3 linked regions of the Ovis aries genome follow. The protein of the gene in region 1 purifies or fractionates together with the protein of each later gene. This does not show direct contact. Links are inferred from orthologs where the notes say so. Each region holds a gene or a part of one and is shown in the gene's direction. Other genes may lie near its edges.

Region 1 (4,922 bases):
TGAAGAAGGAGTTGGCAGCCCACTCCAGTGTTCTTGCCTGGAGAATCCCATGGACAGAGGAGCCTGGCAGGTCAGACATGACCAGAGCGATTTAGCATGCACGTGCCATATGGGTGAGTCTCTGTAGTAACTATTTAGCTACTCAACTCTGCCATTATAATGTAAAAGTAGTCATAGATAATAAAACTAATGGGCATTGTTGTATTCCAGTAACATCTTATTTAGAAAAATCAAGCAACCAGTTAAATAACCCAGATTTGCCTGCCAACGTCTAGAGCAGAATGTGTGTGTGTGTGTGGTGTGTGTGTTGGGGTAGGGTGGTTGTGGTAAGAAGTTGGAAAAATAGATTAAGAAAGTCCTATTGAAGTTGTTCTTTATGCTTTATCCTATAGAAAATGGGGAACCATTAAGGATTTTTGAGTAGGGGAGTGATGTTATCAAAGCTGTGTATTAGGAAAATAACTGGTATGGCAGATAGTTTGAACTGACAGCAGAGGGACCAGTGGAAGGTTATTGCTATGGATAAATGAAGAGATGGTGAGTTTATGGGGCTTCCCTGGTGGCTCTGCTATGGACAGAGGAGCCTGGCAGGCTACAGTCCGTGGGGTTGCAAGAGGTGGACACAACTTAGCGACTAAACAACCAACCAACCTGGTGGCTCAGTGGTAATCTGCCTGCCAGTGCAGGAGACATGGGTTCAGTCCCTGATTTGGGAAGATCCCACATGCCTCGGAGCAACTAAGCCCATGTGCCACAGTCATTGAGACTGTGCTCTGTAGAGCCGGAGAACCACAGCTGCTGAGCCCACGTGCTGCATACCTTAAAGCCCGTGGTCCGCAGCAGAAGGCACTGCAATAAGAAGCCTGAGCACCACAGCTAGAGAGTAGCCCCCATTCTCCTCAGCTAGAGAAAAGCCTGAGCAGCAGTGAAGACCAGCACAGCCAAATAGAAAAAGAAAATTAATGGATAAGCTAATTTTTACAGAGATGATGAGTTTAGTCTTTAATCTATAAAATGGGAATAATACTCCCTGTCTTAACTATTTTCCAGGGTATTTGTGAGAATCCAGTAAGAAAGTGATTGCAAAAGTGCTTTGACATCATAAAGTGTTCTGATGTGCAGGAGGTGAACTGTGACTTACAGTAATTCTGAGTAGTGATGATTATTCTTTCTGTTGTGGGAGTGAATTCCTTGGAGACAGTGAGGTGAGTCACCTCACTGGCCGATGTTCCCCAGTAGCTTTGGACTGACCCACTCACACTGTCTAATGCCTTTGGGTTCCAAGGGAAAAAACTGGGCCAGACAGACATCCTTAAGTGCTCATCTCACTACGGTCCCCTGCTTTTTGTTTTCTTTTGGAGTTACCCTTCCTTGATGTGGGAGAGAATCTTGGAGCCTAGAATGAACCAGACAGAATTTGCCTAGAAATTTGTTGTAAAAATCTGTGGGTTCTCCTGGGAGTGTGTGTCTAACTGTGTCACTGAAGCTGTCACTCTTTCTTCTTCAGGGGATGTTGGAAATTACTATTATGGACAAGGCCACCCAATGAAGCCTCACCGAATTCGTATGACTCACAATTTACTCCTTAACTATGGTCTCTACCGGAAGATGGAAATCTATGTGAGTTACTGGGAGCTTCACCCCTCCCTAGCCTCTTCAGCTCTGGTTCCCCATATATCATTCATTATCTCTTTTTTTTTCAATTACTCATGAAATGTGTTGAGTGACTGTTACGTGGCAGACATTGTAAATGGTAGAGATTGTTTTTTAACGTGCTCACTCTAGTGCTGGTGAACAACATGTACACAAATTGTACTAGAGTGTGTAAGGGCAATGACTTAAAAATGTGTAAGATTCAGGGATATTGAGGTGGAATGTGGAAGGGAGCCTTGGAATGTTTCCTAGAAGTGATAGCTAAACAGTGTTTTAAAGATTAAATAGAAATTAGCCTGGAGTTCAGGAGGGGACTAGCATTCTAGGCTGAGGGAAGAGCATATACAAAAAGGCAGAAAGGTAGGAACAATATGATGTGTTTAGGGAAATGTAAGTAGTTTAGTGTGCAAGTATTGCTGCAGTATAAAGTTGGCAAGTGTGAGAGAGGGGAGCTAGAGCTGGAGAGGTCAGCAAGAGTTGGGTGTGCTATATTAAGCAGTTTTGCTAGGCCAGGGTCAAAAAATCTAGTCCCTAAAAACTAAGTGATTGGAACTGTGTTGAACTAGATACCAAGTCTCTATAGTTACTGGAGCGTATGGACTTTCTAGCCATTTGGCCTGGCTCCAGCTGATGTCTTTTGCCACATCTTCCAGTTTTCCCTGATGGCTCAGCGGGTAAAGAAATCTGCTTGCAATGCAGGAGACACAGGAGACATGGATTCCATCCCTGGATTGGAAAGATCCCCTGGAGGAGGAAAATGGCAACCCGCTCCAGTATTGTTAACTGAAAAATCCCATGGGCAGAGGAGCCTGGTGGTCTGTAGCCCAAAGGGTCACAAAGAGTCAGACACGACTGAGTGACCAAGCACATAGTGGTTTTTAAAGAGAAGCCAGAACTCTGGATTATTACATAGAGTCTTCAAGGTTTAAAATGTTGGCCCAGGTTTGTTGGAAACATGTAGGAACAAAAGTGCATGAACATATCTGTGAGCCAAATTTGGTCCAGAGTTTCCCAATTTGAACTTTTCTGGAGGCTGTAAAAAACAAAAGAAGTGTTTATTCAAAACGTTCTGTTTATTTGTTCGGCTGTGCGGCTCTTAGCTGTGGCCCACAGCGTCTTCTGTCTGCATGGTGGTGTGCTGGCTCTTCAGGTGCAGCATTCAGGGCCTTTCACTGCGGCATGCAGGATCTATTTCCCTAACCCTGGGATTGAACCCAGGCCCACTGCATTGGGAACGTGACGTTTTAGTCACTGAATCACTAGGGAAGTCCCAAGTGAAGTATTTTAAATGAGAAATAGGAATAGGCATGCATTTTAGAAGCAGGGAGGCTAAGTTAGGAGGCTGTTGCAAGAGTCCAAATGAGAAAATAAGGAGGGGCTGGGGGCCTGTGTTGCCTTATGGTTAGAATGTAAGAGTTGATGAAGTCTGTGCCGACAGCTTACGTAACCTAGCAGCAGCAGCATCCTTCCCCACCATTCCAGAGACTGAAAGGAGAGGAATCTTCTGTCCCAGGCGACCGTGTCACGTCTCTGGAGCCCCTGGAGGCAGCTGGGGAAGCAAGGAGGGAAGGTAGATGGAGGAGCAGATGGAACTTGGGACCAGAGAGCATTTTCAGGTGTGAAGGGCATCTGGGAATGAAAAACATAAAAGATAGCAGAGGTTTTCAGGGACTCCAGGGAACAGACTAGTATTTAGATACAGAGAGGGTACCTGAATGTGGAATAGTAAGCACCAGGGCTCCACGGGGCTGCCTGTTGCACATCTCAGCCATGCTCACCTGGCCTCAGTTTGCCTCCCTCCCTGCCACTCCACCCTCAGAACCCTCCATTTCAGCCAGATCAGATTCTGCCTCTTTCCACCCCATTCTGATGGGGAGGATTATTTACTCCACCTAGTCATATCTTTCTCATTTTCAAGAGTTGCGTTAAGCACTGTTTCTTTTTTTCATTCAACAGATTTTTGTTGAGTACTTGTTATAACCCAGGGACTTTATTAACCTCCATGAGTGATACTGATATATTAATAATAAAAAAAGGGTCATATCTTTAAGTGAGAGGAGAAATTAACTAACATTTGTTGAAGATTGCTAGGTACCAAGCCAGGGCTACTGTTATTTACTTAATCTTTATAGCAACCTTGATTTTAATCACTCTCCGCTGTGCCTACCCTATACTATTTTTATTAAAGAAGAAAGCCCTTCCTAGCAACTTCCTAACAGATTTCCCTTTAAGTCTCATTGGGTCATTTGCCATACTTAGACCATTCACCAGCAATTTGATCCTTGGGGCTGGGTATACCCAACCAAATTGAGATCTGTTAAAAAGAGGGAAGGGAGAGAATAGCTCTTTGGGAAGTAACCAACCATGGCTGTCATAGGAGATAATAATACCTTATTGGAGATTACTTCATCTGTGTGGTATTCTTATTGTAAACTAAAGCAAAAGCCCAGTGTAATCTCTTGCTGAAATCGCTAGACCATGTTCTCTTTCATGTGATCTTTTTCCTTTTCTGGTTCTATCTCCCCCCCCCCCCCCCCAAAAAAAAAAAATTCAATCTTTCGACTATACTGCAAAGCTTGTGGAATCTTAGTTCCCCGACCAGGGATCGAACCTGTACCCGGAGCGCAGAGTCTTTACCACTGGACCACCAGGGAAGTCCCTGGCTCTACGTCTTTATTGAGTATGAATCTTTAGTCCTCTTCTCGCAACAGCGTTTCTCTGTTGATCTCTTCTTTCTTCTCCTTTCTCTGGGCTATGATCCTAGCATCCCTTTCCCAAAGGACAAATAGCCATTTATTTTAGTGTCTGTCCTGAAATTAATGGCTTTTGAGAGTTAACTCCTGAAAGAAATTCCCTAGACTTCTCATAGAAGTTTCTATACCTGAAGGAGACAGATTGAAGACTTTTTCACACAATTTCACCTTCTTGGGTTCCTTCTCCAGTTCTTTCTCTGCACATCTAATTAATCTCTCCCAGAATCAAATCCTCACTTTTCATCCAGGCATCTTCCTATTTACATAATTAAGAATCCTGCTCTCTTCCTTGCCTTGGATACTGATTTTGTATATTCCCAGGCTTCTTACTCATTGCCTTCTGTTCCTTTTTTTAAATGTTTTTATAAAATATTGCGTAGATCTGAAAGAATTTTTATAAAATATATGTAAAGTATAAAGAATCACATTATTATTAATAGTACCTTGTTTAAGAAAAGGAATATTTCCATGACTGTTAGAACTCCTGTCTGTCCTTCCCTGATTCCGTCTTCCCCA
Region 2 (3,446 bases), on another chromosome or scaffold:
CAACCATGCAACGGTGGGGATCGGTGGGCGGCTTGAAGGATTGACCCAGGACCTCCAGCAACTGCAGGAGAGCGAGCAGCAGCTGGATCACCTGCTCCACATCTGCAGCACCCAGCTGCGTCTGCTCTCCGAGGATGCGGACAGCCAGCGATATCCTTGAACTGCCTGGAGGGTCACCAGGGCCCCATCTAAGTGGGAGTGGAGGGCCTTACCTTGGGCCCTGGATTCAGGAAAGAGTTCTGGCTTTGGATACCGGTCCTGGCTCAGCATTCACTCCCAGTGTGACACTGGACAAGTTACTTAACCTCTCTGAGTCTCAGCTTCCTCTGGAAAAGGGGAAAAACAATCCTACTTCAAAGCTTTTCGGATTAAAACCAGAAAAGCTAATATCAGTAATAACTGGTTTATTTAACACAGGGATAACATTTATTTAATACAGGGATTTAATACCTGGTTGTAGCTTCAAGGTTAGAGTTGCTTTTATTTGCAAAAATATAAACTTTATTTTGAAAGAAGTTATGTTTATACATTTTGGAGATAACGGCTCAGACGGTAAAGAATCTGCCTGCAGTGTGGGAGACCCGGGTTTGATCCCTGGGTCAGGAGGATTCCCTGGAAAAGAGAATGGCAACCCATTCCAGTATTCTTGCCTGGAGAATTCCATGGACAGAGGAGCCTGGTGGACTATAGTCCATGAGGTCATAGAGTCAGACATGACTGAGAATTTAACACTTACACACACACACACACACACACACACACACACACTAATTGACATCAAGGTCATGGGTCAGAATAAATTCTTAGGACTATGCCTGGATTTAAGTAATTTTTATGAAATGATTATAGGCAGCTGTCATTACCTTGAGCTTCAATAGGTAGAGTGATCTCATTGTATAGATGTAGAAGCAGGCTCAAGGGCATGAGATCTGCTTGACCCCCAACCATGTGCCAGGCCTTGGAGTGGGTGATGCAGAGGACAGGAGTGACTAGGCAGCGATGGGCTCTGCCTTCTGAGCTGTCTGGGTGGGTGGCCCCCAAAGGCCAAAGATCATGTGGTCCTTGACTCCACCAACCCTGGCCTATGTGACCTGCCAGGACCTTCGTAGCATTGCAGACCCTGCAGAGCAGATGGTCATGGTGATCAAGGCCCCCCCTGAGACCCAGCTCCAAGCCGTGGACTCCTCGGAGGTGAGACCTGGGAGTCTAGACGGGACTAGGATGGACTGGACTGGGCTGGGCTGGTAGTCCAGCTGAGCCTCAGTTTACCCTGCCTGCTACCTCCATCCAGAACTTTCAGATCTCCCTTAAGAGCAAACAAGGCCCCATCGACGTTTTCCTGTGCCCTGAGGAGAGTGTGGGCGGAACCAGCCCTGGAAAGACCCCGTCCCAGGGGGCAGCTTCGGGGGAGGAGGAGAGGGCAGCTGACCTTGCCACCGCGGTGCCACCACCACCGTCGTCACCTCCCTCATCCCCTGCCACGGATCCCAGTCAGTCCCTGCTCAGCCTGGAGCAAGGTTGGTGAAGGCCGGGTGGGCAGGGTGGGCCCGGCCCCTCCCCGAGGTGGGTGGGCAGGTGTGTCAGCCCCTCCCTGCCGGGGGTGTCCCCGGCTGTGATGCTCCTGCATCTCCCCAGAGCCTCTGCTTTCCCGGATGGGTGGCCTGCGGGCCCCCGTGGACGAGGACCGCCTGTCCCCACTCGTGGCGGCCGACTCACTCCTGGAGCACGTGAAGGAGGACTTCTCCGGCCTCCTCCCCGAGGAGTTCATCAGCCTGTCGCCCCCCCACGAGGCCCTCGACTACCACTTTGGCCTCGAGGAGGGTGAGGGCATCAGAGACCTCTTCGACTGTGACTTTGGGGACCTCACTCCCCTGGATTTCTGACGGGGCTCAGGGGGACCAGGGCCTCCTGAGATGCCCACCCCGTCTCTGCAGCCCTGGAGCCCCCCGCCCCTGGCCGTCCTAGCCTAATTGGAAACATTTAATTTATGCCCCTCTCTCCTACCTCCAGAGGCTTCTAGCTCTGGAGCCTGGCTCCTGCCAGGAGGCTGAGCAAGCCAGGAAGGGAAGAATTCTGTTTGTGGTGTTTGTGCATGCACCCAAGCCCCGACGTGTGTGTCCACGGGGTGAGTGGTGTGTGAGCATGTGTGTGTGCATGTCCCGGGGAATGAAGGTGAACACATCTGTGCGTGCACTGAAAACACGCCCCAGTGTGTCCACGTGTGTGTGCATGAGTCCATGTGTGCGCGTGGTGGGGGCTCTAACTGCACTTTTGGTCTTCTTGCTCCAGGGGCCCCATGAGGCCCAGGGTGGCCACCTGCCCCCAGAATCCTGTGTGCTGACCAGGCCAGGTGGCGAGGCCTTGGCCTGCTTGTTGGCAGGACAGCGAGAGCACTTCTATCGTCTTAAAGGTTTTTCTGATTGAAGCTTTAATGGAGCGTTATTTATTTATCAAGGCCTTTTTGGCAAGCTTGGGGCATCAGCAAAGGGTAGGAGGGATGTGGGACTGGTGCCGCAACTCCCTTACTCCCTGAGTGAGGGCAGGGGTCCTTGAGCTGTTCTTTGCCCCACTCCGAAGGAGCTGAGGCCTGAGTGGTTTATTTATTCGGAAAGCGAGGGAGGGAGACACAGACTGACTGACTGACAGCCATGGGTGGATTGAGGGGGTGGTCCCTCCCGACGGGGTCCCTGCAGGGCCCCAGCTGCCCCCAGGATGGATGTGAGATGGGAGAGGTGAGTGGGGGACCTTCACTGACAGGGTGGGCGGGAGGGGTGGGGTGAAGGGCCTCCCCCCCCCAGCCCAGACCACAGGGGCCCTTCCTGTGGCGTTTGAAGTGCCCCCTCCACCCTACTTCTTGCTCTGCCCCACCCTCCAATCTGCACTTTGATTTGCCTTCCTAACAGCTCTGTTCCCTCTGCTTTGGTTTTAATAAATATATTGATGGTGTTTGGGCCCTGTTTGGGGACTCTGTACTGGGAGCAGGTCTGTGGGTGGGAGAGGTCAAGGTTGCTGGTGTGATGACCATTCCCTACTTTACGTTTCCCTGTCCCTGCCTGGCTTCATTTTATTTGAGCCTCACAGCCCCAAGAATAATCGTTTTCATCACCTTTTTTTAATCCTAATTAAAAAACTGGTTGAGTAAAGTAAGCAATGAATTCCTTTTTCCAGCCACAGAGAGGCCACCCTGATCAGTTGGCTATGCTCCGTCCAGATGTTTCTGGACATTTGTAAACAGGCAGCAGATAATTACAACCAGCTGATTCTGTGTCAGGTTCTGGGGACGTGTTCCTCCCTTTGTGGAGCTCTCAGAATCTGCTGGAGGAAACTCTCAAATAAACGAGAAAATCAGGGAGAGCTTCCTGGAAAAGGTGGTGCCTGACCTAAGGCTGTGGGATAGTAGAAATTAACTGAGAAGGAAGAGGAATACACCAACCAGGAGAAGGCAA
Region 3 (3,500 bases), on another chromosome or scaffold:
AGATTCTTAACCACTGGACCACCAGGGAGATCCCCTAGTTCATGTTTCTAAGAGAGGGAACTTGATTGGCTCCGCCTATTTGTTTACCTATTTATTTATTTATTGAGTCCAGGCCCATCACAGACTTCTGGCCAGGTGATCAGCAATGTGCACAGATGTTTCTTTGAGCAGGGATACCAAAGGATCAAGTAGCTGTGTACTGACGTGCACTGCTCTTCTTTGAAACTGTTCTTCTGCTAGAAATATACCCTCCAGCCTATGAATTCCATATCTGTTATTTTCCCCTTTCTGTACATGTGTCTCTTTCATCCTTGTACTGTAGTTATTCATGTGACCAACTCCTTTTTCCAACTGTGAGCTCCTCAAGATCTGGCCCATGTCTTAATCATTCCCTTAAGCATTGTGTCTTCCACTTAGTAAATGTCTTTGTCTAATAAGTATTTGTTTACTAGATGAATTGATTTATGAGTATCAATCATAATCTTAAACTTCTTCATATCCTTTTAGGCCCTACAGTAGTGCTGGGCTTTCGATAGCAGGGTCCCAGAAGAACGGATGAATTAATCAGTGAGCAAAACAATGAATTAACGAATCAATGAACTAATGAGCCGTTGAGCAATAGCTTGAAAGTAAGAGAGTTCACATCTTATGTGAGGGTCAAGATCTGCGGAATCAGTGTAAAGGTGTGGCGTGTATGAAACTGGCTATTTTTAATCCAGGCTCCCGTTTTGTGTTTATTTCTCTAATGAGTCGTGGTAGATACAGTTGCTCATTGCAAAACAGCCAAGTAAGTCCTTTCCTGTCCTTTGCAACTTGTCTTGCAGGTGTGAGCAGCATCTCTTCACCACGGTGGCATTTGGTCCGTCCCTTAGCCCGGGTGAGGATGTAAAACCCCTCGCTCTGCACATGCGTGGTAGAGGCCAACAGGAACACCTGGCTGCAGCCACGGTCACGGACATGTCAGCCGTGGAGTAGTGTGGACGCTTTCTCTCTGCTTCTCAGGGTTTCAGTCCTTTCGGGTTTGTGTCATTGACCTTTTTGTATGGTTTTGTGGCTGGACGTTCACAACCAGGGCAGGCACCATGGGGGACCAGCAGCTATACAAGACCAATCATGTGGCCCACGGTGGTGAGAACCTTTTCTACCAACAGCCACCACTTGGCGTCCACGGCGGGCTGAACCACAACTATGGGAATACAGTGCCCGGGGCTGGAATGGATGCCCCTCAGGCATCACCCATCTCCCCCCACTTCCCTCAAGACACTCGGGATGGTCTAGGCTTGGCTGTTGGCTCCAAAAACCTTGGCCAAGTGGATACTTCGAGGCAGGGAGGGTGGGGAGGCCATGCAGGGCCTGGAAACCACATCCAGCTACGTGGCAACCTGACCAACTCGAACATGATGTGGGGGGCACCAGCCCAGGCGGAGCCCACCGATGGCTACCAGTACACCTACTCGCAGGCCAGCGAGATCCGGACCCAGAAGCTCACCAGCGGTGTCCTGCACAAGCTAGACTCTTTCACCCAGGTGTTTGCCAACCAAAACCTGCGAATTCAGGTCAACAATATGGCCCAGGTGCTGCACACCCAGTCAGCGGTGATGGACGGAGCACCCGACAGCGCCCTCCGCCAGTTGCTGTCCCAGAAGCCCATGGAGGCCCCAGCACCGGCTCTCCCGTCCCGCTACCAGCAGGCGTCCCAGCAGCCTCACCCTGGTTTCACTGGTGGGCTATCCAAACCGGCTCTCCAGGTTGGGCAGCACCCGAGCCAAGGGCACATGTATTATGACTACCAGCAACCGCTGGCCCAAATGCCAGTGCAGGGAGGACAGTCGCTGCAGGCCCCCCAGATGCTATCCCAGCACATGCAGCAGCTGCAGCCGCATCAGTATTACCCGCCACAGCAACAGCCACACTCCGGGCAGCAGCGGGTGTCCATGCAAGAAATGCAGCCGCCGCCGCAACAGCAGATTCGCCCGCCACAACCCCAGCCACAGTCGCAGCCACGGCAGGGTTCAATGCAGATACCTCAGTATTACCAGTCCCCACCCATGATACAGCCTTTGCCAGAGCCGCAGCAGCCCCAGATGCACCTGCAGCCCCCTTCTTATCACAGGGACCCCCACCAGTACACCCCGGAGCAGGCGCATGCAGTCCAGCTGATTCAGCTGGGCTCCATGCCCCAGTACTACTACCAGGAGCCCCAGCAGCCCTACGGCCACCCCGTGTACCAGCAGAGCCACCTGCCTCAGCACCAGCAGCCTGAGGACAGTCAGCCCAAGACTTATCCAGGCGACAGGCAGGCGCAGGCCATGCTGAGCTCCCACGGGGACCTGGGGCCTCCAGATACAGGAATGGGAGACACAGCCAGCTCCGACCTGAACCGGGCCAGCAGTGCCCTCCCGCACCGGCCGCTCCTGTCCCCTGGCAGCATCCACCTCAACAACATGGGGTCTCAGCACCAGCAGCTGTCTCCCAGTGCCGTGTGGCCCCAGGTATCCTCAGAGTGGACGTTCATCCCGGGATCTCAGGGTGCGCGTATGCCAGCCAGAGCTGAGTCCAGTGCAGTGCCTAGTCCCATCCTCCAAACCCCTCCGACACTTTCGTTCTTTTCTTTATTCCACAAACATTAACCAGACATTGTGGAATACAGAATCAATTGTGACTCAGTCTTTTGCCCGTAGAGCTTATAATCTCACTAAAGAGGCGGCCAAAATATATATCAGGTCCCAGATGATGCATGTCATGGTCAAGGCCTCATCAGGTGCCCAGGGACCACACAGTGGGGGTGTCTTGTCCCCTTTAGGTCTGTATCCTTAGGGGACTTCCTGTGAAATTGTTCCCTTCTGGGGAGGGAGACCATATTATGACAGCATTTCTCAAAGTCTATTGCTCAGAATAGGAGTTCCATAGAATGTTCAGTGGACATTGCTCGGGGGAGGGGAGTGGGTTCTTGGGAGAAATCAATATGAAGGGATATCTCATGTAGTTGCAGACGTGAAAAACCTTAGCTGCCCACAGGATCCAGGCAGGTAAAGTCAATAAGCAGAATGGCCTGATGTGGATTTTGTGGACTGGAGGGCCAATGCCCCAACTAATGATATCCACAGTCAGGGTTTTTAAAAACAGTCCAGCCAAGCAGACCATGTCTGCAGATCAGAGTCAGCCTGCGGGTGACAGGTATTAACTCTTAATTGTTTCCCAAATAGATTTGATCATAAAATTGCCTACTGTGTGCTGGGCACCATTCATGTTTTGGTGTGTTCCAAGTGCTACACTCAAGTGACAACAGATTCAAGGGAGGAGGGTACCTTGAATAAAACCAGGGTAAATGAAGAGAGGGCTCTGATGAAGGCTGAAGGCCAGAGATAACTCCCTCTGACCCTGTTTTGTTTAGGACTCAGGCCAGTAGTAACTGAGAGCCTTTGTGAATGCAAGAATAAGATGGCATGGCCCAGGCTAAAAAGAATTCCAGCAGGAGGTCTTGTGTGAGGCTGTATCTT

Evidence for each region. The genes of interacting proteins can lie anywhere in the genome.
Region 2: the proteins of HDAC1 (region 1) and E2F1 purify together in Homo sapiens (affinity purification with western blotting; 5 studies listed by BioGRID and IntAct, with this or other methods). This does not show direct contact. The link is inferred for Ovis aries from reciprocal best matches to the Homo sapiens genes HDAC1 and E2F1.
Region 3: the proteins of HDAC1 (region 1) and TRERF1 purify together in Homo sapiens (co-immunoprecipitation; 5 studies listed by BioGRID and IntAct, counting the BioPlex papers as one, with this or other methods). This does not show direct contact. The link is inferred for Ovis aries from reciprocal best matches to the Homo sapiens genes HDAC1 and TRERF1.

Annotation. Positions count from the first base shown.
Region 1 is NC_056055.1:235,252,723-235,257,644, reverse strand, and holds part of HDAC1 (histone deacetylase 1), read left to right. Parts: intron 1-1,050; exon of another isoform or gene 1,051-1,205; intron 1,206-1,507; coding exon 1,508-1,620; intron 1,621-4,922. UniProt on the Homo sapiens protein: Histone deacetylase that catalyzes the deacetylation of lysine residues on the N-terminal part of the core histones (H2A, H2B, H3 and H4).
Region 2 is NC_056066.1:63,133,772-63,137,217, reverse strand, and holds the end of E2F1 (transcription factor E2F1), read left to right. Parts: coding exon 1-150; intron 151-1,076; coding exon 1,077-1,191; intron 1,192-1,291; coding exon 1,292-1,517; intron 1,518-1,635; coding exon 1,636-1,883; 3' UTR 1,884-2,946; downstream 2,947-3,446. UniProt on the Homo sapiens protein: Transcription activator that binds DNA cooperatively with DP proteins through the E2 recognition site, 5'-TTTC[CG]CGC-3' found in the promoter region of a number of genes whose products are involved in cell cycle regulation or in DNA replication.
Region 3 is NC_056073.1:16,008,897-16,012,396, reverse strand, and holds part of TRERF1 (transcriptional-regulating factor 1), read left to right. Parts: intron 1-824; 5' UTR 825-1,082; coding exon 1,083-2,492; intron 2,493-3,500.